Schizosaccharomyces pombe: one gene and its partner. The protein of the gene in region 2 interacts with the protein of the main gene of each other region in a biochemical or structural test. Each region holds a gene or a part of one and is shown on either strand. Other genes may lie near its edges.

Region 1 (6,951 bases), 1.5 Mb from region 2:
TATTCCGCTCGATCAGAGCAGATCAAAAGGTTGATTCTTCAGTGTCCCACATTATAAGGCTATTTCTCGCTTACCAAGGAACACATCAGACCTCCTGAACTTATCCTCCACCAACGTCCTCTTCATTTTAAAATTCATTTTATTGAAAAAAAATCATATTTCTAGCTATCTTGCACCTCTATTTGGCCTTTGCTTATCCCCGGATCCACGTTGGATATTTGCTCGCCTATCGAATAGTATATTAAAAAAAGTTCGCTTGAGAAAAAAATTATTTGTCAAAGTCGAAAGTGGAAAGACGTTTTTAAAAGAAGTATTTTGTGGCAAAGAAGTCAATATCTAAGAAGAAAAAAAGTTTCGGTTGATCTGTAACTAAAATCAGCGTCAAAATAGCATCACCAATACGTCCGAGTGAGAAGCATCAAGGTTCCTCAAAATCAAGAAAAACTTTACCAATATTACTTCTATTGTTTTATCTAGCATTAAAAATAATTTCATTTAAATACAATCCTAGAGCGGGATTGTTGAAAAGAAACCCAACCTAATCTTAGTTTATTTGAATTTGCTCAGCTAATTTTGAATGTGACTATATTGAACACTCAAATTGGCTAATTCTTCGTTTAACAAACATCGAAAACTATTTATTTCTTCCCATCTTTTTGTTTATTAAAAAAAAAAGAAAGGAGAACAATAACAGAATTCAATTCATAGTTGTCGGCGGATATTGTTTTTCTATCCTTTTCTAATCCTTTTGTGTGTACTATTTGTTTTATGTTATAATTTATTAAAAAATCAGAAAGTGTTTTCGATATGGAGTCTTGTACAAGGTCTTCACTACAGCAGCTTGTCGCAGCTGACTCAAAATCTTCTAACTTTTGTTTCCGGAATTTATCCCAATCATCGAATAATAATGTATCATATGCGTCTTCAAGCAATCGCAATTTTGTTCCCCAAAATGTTCTCAATAATGAGTACCAATCTTTCCAGCATTCTTCAACATCTCAACCTTCCGTACTTCGACAAGGAAAAAATGCTTTTTTAAAGCCAAGCCAACTGTCTTTCAATATGAATTCGTCCGAAATTTCTAATACGCATTGGGCACGCGATTTTAATATTCTAACTTCTAACTTTGCTTCGTCCTCCGTTACTTCTGCTCCTACTCAATCCTCACATATTTCAAACTTTACTAATTCTCAAAAATATTTTGCAAACGATCTTCCCAACTCTCTAACTGACCAACCCTTAGCTCAGCCATCGGCATCTCAACGTTCTACATGGCTACCTTGTTCTGCAGCCGTTAGCACTTCAAGTCCTTCATCTGATCCCTTCTTTGATTCTTATCTTGAACAAGCTTTCGAAAAGGCTGAACGACTTGCAAACGAACAACAAAAGATTTCCAAAGTTGAGAAAACCTTTGGCACTTTGGATTCCATAGGTACTGAACAGGATGATTGCTTTGATCCTGATTACAGCAATCTCCCCCTTTTTCCTCAGGAAAATGCATCTCCCCCTTTGTTTCGAAAAGCATCTTGCAACAGTGGTTTTACCACAAAATGTTGATTAGGAGTTTCACACTAGCTTACTAATTTCCCTCCTAAAGATTGCTTCAACTGAAGTGTAGCATTGCTTCAGTCGTATTTCAATATTTGATTTTTTTATGCCTTATTTTTTTGTTTTAAAATTCTTTTCGCTAAAATTTGCTTCGAGAATCTATCAATACAAGTTCTCTCTTGCCGCACTATAAATCTCAAATTTAGCTTTCAAAATCATCTATTTATTGCAGTGTATACATTCATAATACCCTCATACCTAGCAATTTCAAAAATCCGTAACTATAGCTTAGCGATGCAAAAGCACTTCCACACCTCTTTTTGTAAAGAATAAAATTAATTTGAATTTTTAACACTTAATTTAATAATAATAAAATGTTTTGTACAACTTGGATTGCTACATATGGGAAAATTCAATCGTCCCTTCTTTCCAGTAATCAACAACCACTTAATAACTGCCAACTCCTAAAGGTCGAGCGCTTGAGGTGTCTAAGAGGCAGAGCATGAGCAAATCTGCTTTCACAAGCAAAAGTCAGCTTAAAGGAATAGAGTATGTTTACAAACTTTACGTCTTTTGTCTAGTGTACTAACGGTAATTAATAGTGGAAGTTTTAATGACCCATTTCGGCAACCGTCTATGAATTTGCCTACTCCCCCTCATGATGATGGTCTTCCATCAATACCTAGGTCTACAGCCTTGCCTAATTTGTCTAACCGATTATCTCCATATTCGCATCGTAATTACCTACCAATTCCTGAAGCGGATTCTCGTAATTTAGAGGTGCTTAATTCAATTTCGCTCACAACAGGATCAGTCGTGAATCAAATAAATAAACTTTACCAGAGGAGTTGTGATAATGCTAATTACTTACAAGACTTACGCTCTTTAATACTTCAAACTCCCACGGCTGAAGCAAATGCCACCCAAGTTACCGAATCTCTAAACCAAATCCAAAAAATTTTACAAGAGGCTTCTTCTAAAGATAGAGAACAAATTGTTCAAGTTATTAAAGAACTCAATAAAGGTAACAGTTTGGAGGTTCGTAGAGAACTTGGAAATTGTTTGGCCCATCTTAAGAAAGGAACTTTAAATATAGACAACGCATTACAAGCCTCTCTACAAAAATACTGGAAAGAATTGCAGTACTTTAATGTGTCAAAGGATAAGTTGCTATCTTTAGAGGAAAGTATAAAATTGTTAAGTGCAAGATTAGAGGAAACTGATACACCCTCCTCCACTCATTGGATAGAGATAAATGCTGGATTTAAAGAAGTTGGTGACGAATTGAGCGAGAATTTTCAAAGAAAGCAAGAAATTTTGAGTGGATTACAAAATAATGTGATTCTTCGTACTAATAATAGGAAGCCTGTAGGCAGTGATGGCTCTAATTCTAATTTTAATGGTGGAGAAGAACAGATGGACTCCAAAGATCAAGAGGAAATACAAGATTATTTGAATTCTCTTTTGTCAGTTCATGAGAAAGATGGTGTACTTCTCCAGAAATTTCATAATTCTTATGTTCAATATCAGAAACTCGCTGTTGCATTGTCGAAATATGAGAATTTCGATGCTGATAAGCTGTTTCAACAGATGAATTTAGCCAAGCAAAGCAATGAGACTCTTTTACAAACTTTGACCGAACAAACCGATCAACTGCTTTCGTTCAAGGAAACCATGGACTCATTTAAATTTATTTTAGGTCCCTCTATGGAGAACCAGGCTTTACAGCAGGGAATTCTAGCAGAGCAGCAAGATTTGGTAGCCCAGTTACGCGATATTGTGCTTCGCTCAGAGACGCTAGCTGAAAATCCCTCTAATATGCCCGGTAGTTGCCTTCCTGGAGCCTCCTCAAATACTGCTGACGAGTTTACTGAACAGCTGAATCTACTTAAGAACGAAGTAGCACGCCTCTCTGCAATCTGTCCAAGCCCTAATTCTGGAATTAATGCTTCTGTGCTTACTAATGCTGACAATTTAGAGAAAGAGAACCTCCTGTTAGTGAACAACAATGCCTTCAAAGTAGATGATCGTTCAGTGTCATCAGTTGCATTAGACGATCATAATCGGCAGTTACAAATGAACGTAGAGGAGTTAGAAGGAAAGAAGGCGGATTTAACCAGCAAAATTAATCGATTGGATAAGGACTTTGTTAAGCTAAATACAACCTACTCGTTACTCACCGATCAAGTCAAAACTAAGCAATTGGCACTCCAAGAGATTGAAAGTCGAGTTATTCGTCTGGAAGAAAGACTAAATATGTTACAGAAGCTGTCCATGCAGCCAGCTATTTCTTCGAGCAGCGAATTTGTTCCCATTGAATCCCATCCCTCATCTTCAGCTGTTGTACCGATAGAAGAACCAAAAAATAGTATTATAGAAAAGAAGCGTGTTCCACATAACGCTGCAAGAAATTCTGTTAATTTGGAGGTCACTCTTCCTAATTCTAAAAAGAGGTTTTCTTCGTTTTCTGGATCTTCCAGTAAACTACCAGTCCGTCCATCAACTGCGTTAACAGACAAAAGGAAACCATCTTGGTCAAGAAGGCTAGCTGCTGCAATCGGGTTTTCTTCAGGATCTCCAGAAAAGAAGCATGTCATAACTTCATCGGACGCGGGACATCAGCGATCTAAATCAAGAAGCTTCAGTTCTAAAATGTAATTATACGCTCTTTTATAGGTCAATCGTTTTTGTAAGATTATACCAATGCTATTATTTAATCAATGACTTTCGTTTCTGTACTATACCTCTTTCATATGTATACTACGTTGAAATAAGCACTTAATGTAAACAACTATTGAAAGCAGCTCATCACATGAAGTCCAAAAATTACTACAACCCTTTATCCCTTTAAGAGCTTTACGATCGAAAATCCGATTTGCCAATGGAGATACAAATCAGCGTTCAAATATGAGAAAGTCTAACTATACAGATAAGCTTCAACAATCCTTGTAATACTAATGTTAAGATATCTTCAGAAAATTAACCGGTAGTTAACAAATAGATGCTATGTATATTGCATTCATTAGTAAGCTAGCGACCCCATTTGCTCAGAAGCCCTTTCTTTAGCTTCGCATAGACATATACCAACGGAACGAATGACACCTGGCAGTGAAAATTCCCTTTATACTTTGTGTAAGAATACTAAAGCTTGTTAATTTTTTTATTGATTTGCTAATTAGTAGACTCCTTGTCGAAATTTGGTTCGTTAACATCAGTTCAGCGCACTTTTCAAACGATGAAGTGTCAGGTTTTAAGCCTAAAATTTTCACCAAGTTTAATGGGAGTCCATTCAAAAGACGTGATATGGAATCCTTCGTGATGTTCTGATGGAAAGAGAGGTATCGCGAATTATCACTCGGATCCATAGATTTTAAAACTTCTGATGATTCAATGAAATGAACTCCAGGTTCTGCATACAATAGTGGCAAATATAGCTTACGAAAGAAAGCTATTTGCTTAGAAACAATATTTTCAACTTTTCGAGGATTTTCGGCGAAAAAGGACATTCGAATATCGCCAAGGTAGGATAAACTTACAATCGTTTTGTAAAGATCGAACTCTGTGAATCGGTCTGCTAACATTAACAGGCCAACGTGTAAGGCACTACTTAAATTATAAGAGTTTTCTTTGTAAAATTCATCTTCCCCTTTAAGTATGACAACCTATTTGTTCAAATTCGGTTAATATCCACAATTGTAGCAGAAGTCTGTTTATTTAACTTACGGGTTTTTGAAAGCGCCCCGCTAGATACATAGTATTCCAATTTTTAAGATCTTCATAAACATCTTTTTTGCTAGTAACACCATATTTGATTATATTTCCCTCTACTTCCACATGTGTATTGTAGTATACACCGGTGCCAAAAGATTCTTGAAGTGTTGACACGAAACCAGGTCCAAAATTTTTAACAAATGAATAATGAGAAGGGTTTTGCTGCAAATTTATTTTGTGCCACTTGACTGGGTCTTCTACCTGAAATATAAAATCAATCATGGGATTCTCCTAGCAGAGACATAAGTTAGAAGTTTTAGATTAAACGAGTATAACGATTAATAATTACTATTTACCTTTTGAGAATATCCAGCTTGCCTAAAGACCCCGCTGCCATAACCTACGGCGACATCAATGGGAGCTTGAAAGTAATTAACAACCTTTGTGAGATTTTCTTTCAATTCTTCTTCAGGTTGAATTCTTTGGTTTTCAAACGTAAGTAAATTTTGCTTCAATAATTGTGCCACTGTACATTTCGCATGATGACTATAACTATGACGGTTCATCCATCGTTTTGTTGAATATCGAAGGATATTATAAGAAAGAAAGTGGGTTTTACCAAAGATCATATATATGATAAAATACGAGTTAGCAATTGCTTTTTTAGTTGTGATACTATACAGTGTTTAATTATACTGAATTTTGGTCACGATGAGGTACTATATGACAGAAGACGAAAACGCCCAGTCTACTCACTCATTGGACTCTACACATTTCATCAATAATATTTAATTGAATTATTTATTTAGCTGTTTTTTTATACCATGATAAATTAATTATTCAAAATGTGAAATTAAAACCAGAGTATATAAACTTAGAACTGACTTACATATGTTCTTACTACTTCTAAAAGAAACGACATTAAAAGAATGAATCGAAACATAAAAATTTAGGTCAATGTTCCATCTTTTTTTTTTCGTAGTTTATATTAGAAGATTCAAAGATCCAAATCTGCGTACATTTTTACAGCAACCAGTTTCAATGTTCAAAAAAGAAATTGTAGATCATCAACTGATGCATATTTATTCAAAGAAACCGACTTGTTCTGCTTTTTCTTAGTAAAATTGGTTGCTTGTTATGTTGCATTGTATACTATACACGAGAATAAATTCCACCATAATCAAAAAATTGAACTGAGAAAAAAATTTGAAAACCCAAACCATAGAAACCTTTTATAACACCATTAAATAGAAACTTAGAATTATTTTTGAATACCAACAACATGCCTTTCACGTTCTTTTTCATAGGGCACGGCACCTTTTTTACTATGACGGCGAATGTTCTCTTCACGTCTCTTTAGAGAATTAATCTCTTCACGTTTTATTTCGGCAGCCTTTTTGACATTAGTTGGAAGATGACGATGACGGGCAATACGGCGAATTTCAGGAATATGCTTATAGCGCTCTCGCAATGAGTCAAGATATTTGAGGCGATTCTCCTCACGAGTAGAGCGAATTGACGCACGGGAAGAAGCACGAGCTCTCCAAAGACGAACATTACTATCATCGGAACCAGAGAATATGTATTGTGCATCCATTGAAAATTTAACTGCAGTAACTCGCTGCATACGTTTTGTATGATAAACATCACGACTATGACCCTCCCGAACATTGTAAATTCGAATCGTTTTGT
Region 2 (3,510 bases):
CAACTGAGATAATCTCTCCAAACGGAATGAAAGCATTGTATAAAAGAGATTCTGTTACAGATGGAGCCAAGTTACCTAAAAAGAAAGTTAGCAAACAGATCTTTGAAAACAACAATCTTTTAAAACGAAGTATCGCCGTCATATAATATTCAACAAGTTAAATCATAACCTCAAACATTTATCGTAGATAAATGGCCATATGAGGAAGCGGTATCATGAAACTCATAGATATATCATAACAACGATGAATTCATTGATCCTTACCCACATGGACGGTTGCTTTCCTTCTTTCCATCCTCAGATCATCAAAACTAAAAAAAAAAAATAAGATGAAAAGCAAAAAGACTAAAATAATAGGGAATTAAAAAGTTCAGATTATTTCGCACATTTACTATCTCACATCCACCACCATTCAGTAAGTAGTTTCTCAAATAACGATGCAGTCTTTTTCGGTATTTAACAGAAACCTGAAATAAAGATTCCAGAGACATATGATACATGAAATGTTATAAATAAAATGAATTGTATGAAGATAGACACTTTAGAGAATGCGAGAATATTTTGCACAAGTAGCCTATGCAAAGGCGATATGCCACACTTTTCAAAAGTAGTTAAAAGAATGCAGTGTCATAAGAAAAAAGTGGAGGAGTAGAAAGAGTAATTTTAGCAACTATTCTTTATGGTAATCACTCAAGTGAATGATTGAAATGAAAAGAAGAAATTTTCCATAAAAAATTGTGCTAAGGTCTGGATAAAATGGTAATGGTAGGGATAAAATAAAACATTAAATTGGTAAGTTTGGGAACCGAGTTTACCTCCCATTTCCTGTTCCTGAATAACTACAAAACTGTTCTTAAACCATGCTATCTACCAAGTCTTGCATTGGTGCATATTCCTTGTTATCCATAAGGCTGAAATTTGTTGTTAACATCTTTAAGTAAGTAAATTGAAACACATACCCAAATTCCCTACAGAAAAATACAAAGTGTTTAAATGATGTATTCAGATAGCTTTCAAGCTCCATTGCTACCATTACGTGAAAGTGGGAACAGTAAATATGAGCATAAATGCGAAACAACCTTCGAAATATTTGCTGAATCACTTTGCGAAAATTCTTTGGGAATTCAACACCAATCTCAGTGGGGAAGAGCTTCTTGTCATCCAACTTTTCTTGAGTCCAATCCAACAGATTGTTAATATAGTCGGGAGCACTCATGCGAGTGGGTTTGGTGTATATTTTATCATCCTGCCAGTAATATTCATAACTTGGTCCAGCATTCATTTGAGGACAGGAAGCCGCCGTACAAAATTCAGTGATTGTACCATACAACATATTAATTTGTGTATAAAAATCCATTGCTAGAAGTATTCAATTAATAAAAGTTCTTGAAGTGTCAATTTTATATCTTAGCTTACTGTTCATAGCAATCCATTCATTCAAATCTTCTCCCTTGGGCAGTTTTACTGCTTCCATCAAAGAGCCAGATCCCAGCGTTGCTTCAGCATATTGCCGTAGTTGATAATGCTTCGTTCCCGCTTCAGTCTTCCTTACACGGAATGTCTTCGCTGTCTTATTACTAAATCCAAACATGAAAGAAAATGCAAAAAAGTTGGTATGAGTTGGGTTCTGGTAGGCTTGGTTTGTGCCAACCTTCCACTCATCGTCCCTTCCTCGTAAACAAACGTGGTCATTCTACCGTTCAACTTTCAAGACCATCCAGCCAACCAATATTAAGCGCAAATTAATTACTGGAATACCTATCATATTCATACGACCGTATGTTTAGGTCCGAGCACTTTTACAAATTGACAACGTACGATCGCTACTTCTTTACCCACTGCCTATAACCACTGACATTCCCTGAATTACACTTTGGTGCTAAACGTGCGGCTAAGAAATTAAAAAGAAAGCAGAGAGCTTTTAATTTTCTTTTTGGGATTTTTTTTGCTCAAATTGGTGTCTATTTAGTGTTCGTGTACGACTTTTACTGTGCGGTGAGAAACGCGAAAGGGCATCACTAAAACCGACTTTGCTAACTTTCTCTGGATTCTATTTAACAGTCTTTTATTTCTTGAGATTTGATTTAGGTTCCTTTAATTCATTTAGGTTTGACAACATGACATGCAGAATTGCGATTCGCAAGTATTCATTCATATTATGTTTGGCTGTTGGTTCAGTTACCATTTATACCTCGGAAGTTATTGGAACTCCTCTGTATTTTGTCAACAAGGAGCTTTATAACAAATATATTGCTTTTACAAAATCATTCGCCGGTATTCTGTTTACCGCTTTGGTCCAGCTTTTTAGTCCGACTCCTGTAACTCTCACCTATGATCCCGAGCTTCGAAATTTGTTTTATTTGGATAGAAATGGTTGCTTGGAAACAATTGCTGCTGAACGCAACATAGTTATCGCAAACCATCAACTTTACTCGGACTGGATGTACGTTTGGTGGTTATCGTACACTGCTAAACAGCATGGTCATGTTTATATTATGTTAAAAAACTCTCTCAAATGGTTGCCAGTTATAGGTTGGGGTATGCAATTGTTTAGATTCATTTTCCTTTCTCGCAAATGGGACAAAGACTACGAGACTATGTCTCGTCATTTCAAGTTCATTCGCAATGTACGTGATTCCGTCAGTCTCATTCTCTTCCCAGAAGGAACCAACTTGGTTGAAAGCACATATCAAAGGAGCAGGGTGTATGCCGATAAAATTGGAGTCAAAATGCCAAAGCATTTAATGCTCCCACGTGTGCGAGGGCTCTTTTATAGTATCAGTCAGCTTCGTGATTCGATGACTTATTTGTACGATTACACATTTTATTTTTCTGATCCCTCTCCTAAGAAATATGCCGCCGATGCTTTCTCTTTACCTAAGCTCTTTTTTGAAGGAGTCCCCATCAAAAGGCTTCATATTCACGTTCGTCGCTTCCCAATTTCGGAAATTCCCACTGAAGAAGATCAGTTTACGGATTGGCTTTATCAAAGATGGTATGAGAAAGATAAACTTATCGATACGCTTCTTGAAACAGGGAATTTTCCGGGCCCTAAGAAATTGCATACGACTGTTCGATTGAAGCACAGACTTGAAATTCTTTCTTTGTTTTCCGTACTTTTCACGTGCATTGTTGCTGGGTTGTTCCTCAAACTATTCATTTCTCACTAGAAAAAACTGTTATTTATACCCATTTCTTTCCATTTCCCTAAACCATATGGTTGAAAAGTTACCCATTTACACTACATAGATTAACTGATTTTCATGAACATTTTTTAACAGATTGCAAACTGGATTTTCAGTGTTAAGGAATTACCGCATACATTGCGGACGATAGTTTTATAGTCATTAGCTTTCTCTTGAGCTTTGAGATTTCGAGATAAATTATTCTGTACACTTTTTCTCCTTACAACCATCCTCTTTGCCTGTAGACGGCCTACAATCTACTGTTTCAAACTATGTCGAAGATAACATAATAACAATAAAATAAATTATGCTAAAAAAAAAATAT

The links. Proteins that work in one complex are often made in the same cells at the same time.
Region 1: the proteins of mob1 (region 2) and blt1 form a complex in vitro, tested with the Schizosaccharomyces pombe proteins (one study listed by BioGRID).

The regions. Positions count from the first base shown.
Region 1 is NC_003423.3:1,982,466-1,989,416, forward strand, and holds blt1 (ubiquitin domain-like protein Blt1), read left to right. Parts: upstream 1-2,000; 5' UTR 2,001-2,050; coding exon 2,051-2,097; exon of another isoform or gene 2,098-2,150; coding exon 2,151-4,206; 3' UTR 4,207-4,578; coding exon of another isoform or gene 4,579-4,635; 3' UTR 4,636-4,636; coding exon of another isoform or gene 4,637-4,652; 3' UTR 4,653-4,653; coding exon of another isoform or gene 4,654-5,210; 3' UTR 5,211-5,271; coding exon of another isoform or gene 5,272-5,550; 3' UTR 5,551-5,615; coding exon of another isoform or gene 5,616-5,888; 3' UTR 5,889-6,087; downstream 6,088-6,951. Other genes in the region: SPOM_SPBC1A4.04 (uncharacterized protein), read left to right, coding at 808-1,557; U3 snoRNP-associated protein Sof1, read right to left, coding at 6,521-6,951.
Region 2 is NC_003423.3:468,535-472,044, forward strand, and holds mob1 (Sid2-Mob1 kinase complex regulatory subunit Mob1), read right to left. Parts: upstream 1,630-3,510; 5' UTR 1,592-1,629; coding exon 1,417-1,591; intron 1,360-1,416; coding exon 960-1,359; intron 912-959; coding exon 854-911; downstream 1-853. Other genes in the region: SPOM_SPBC428.12C (peptidyl-prolyl cis-trans isomerase E), read right to left, coding at 1-75, 265-295; mlg1 (1-acylglycerol-3-phosphate acyltransferase), read left to right, coding at 2,118-3,170. UniProt on the Schizosaccharomyces pombe protein: Has a role in promoting the onset of septum formation during the latter stages of mitosis.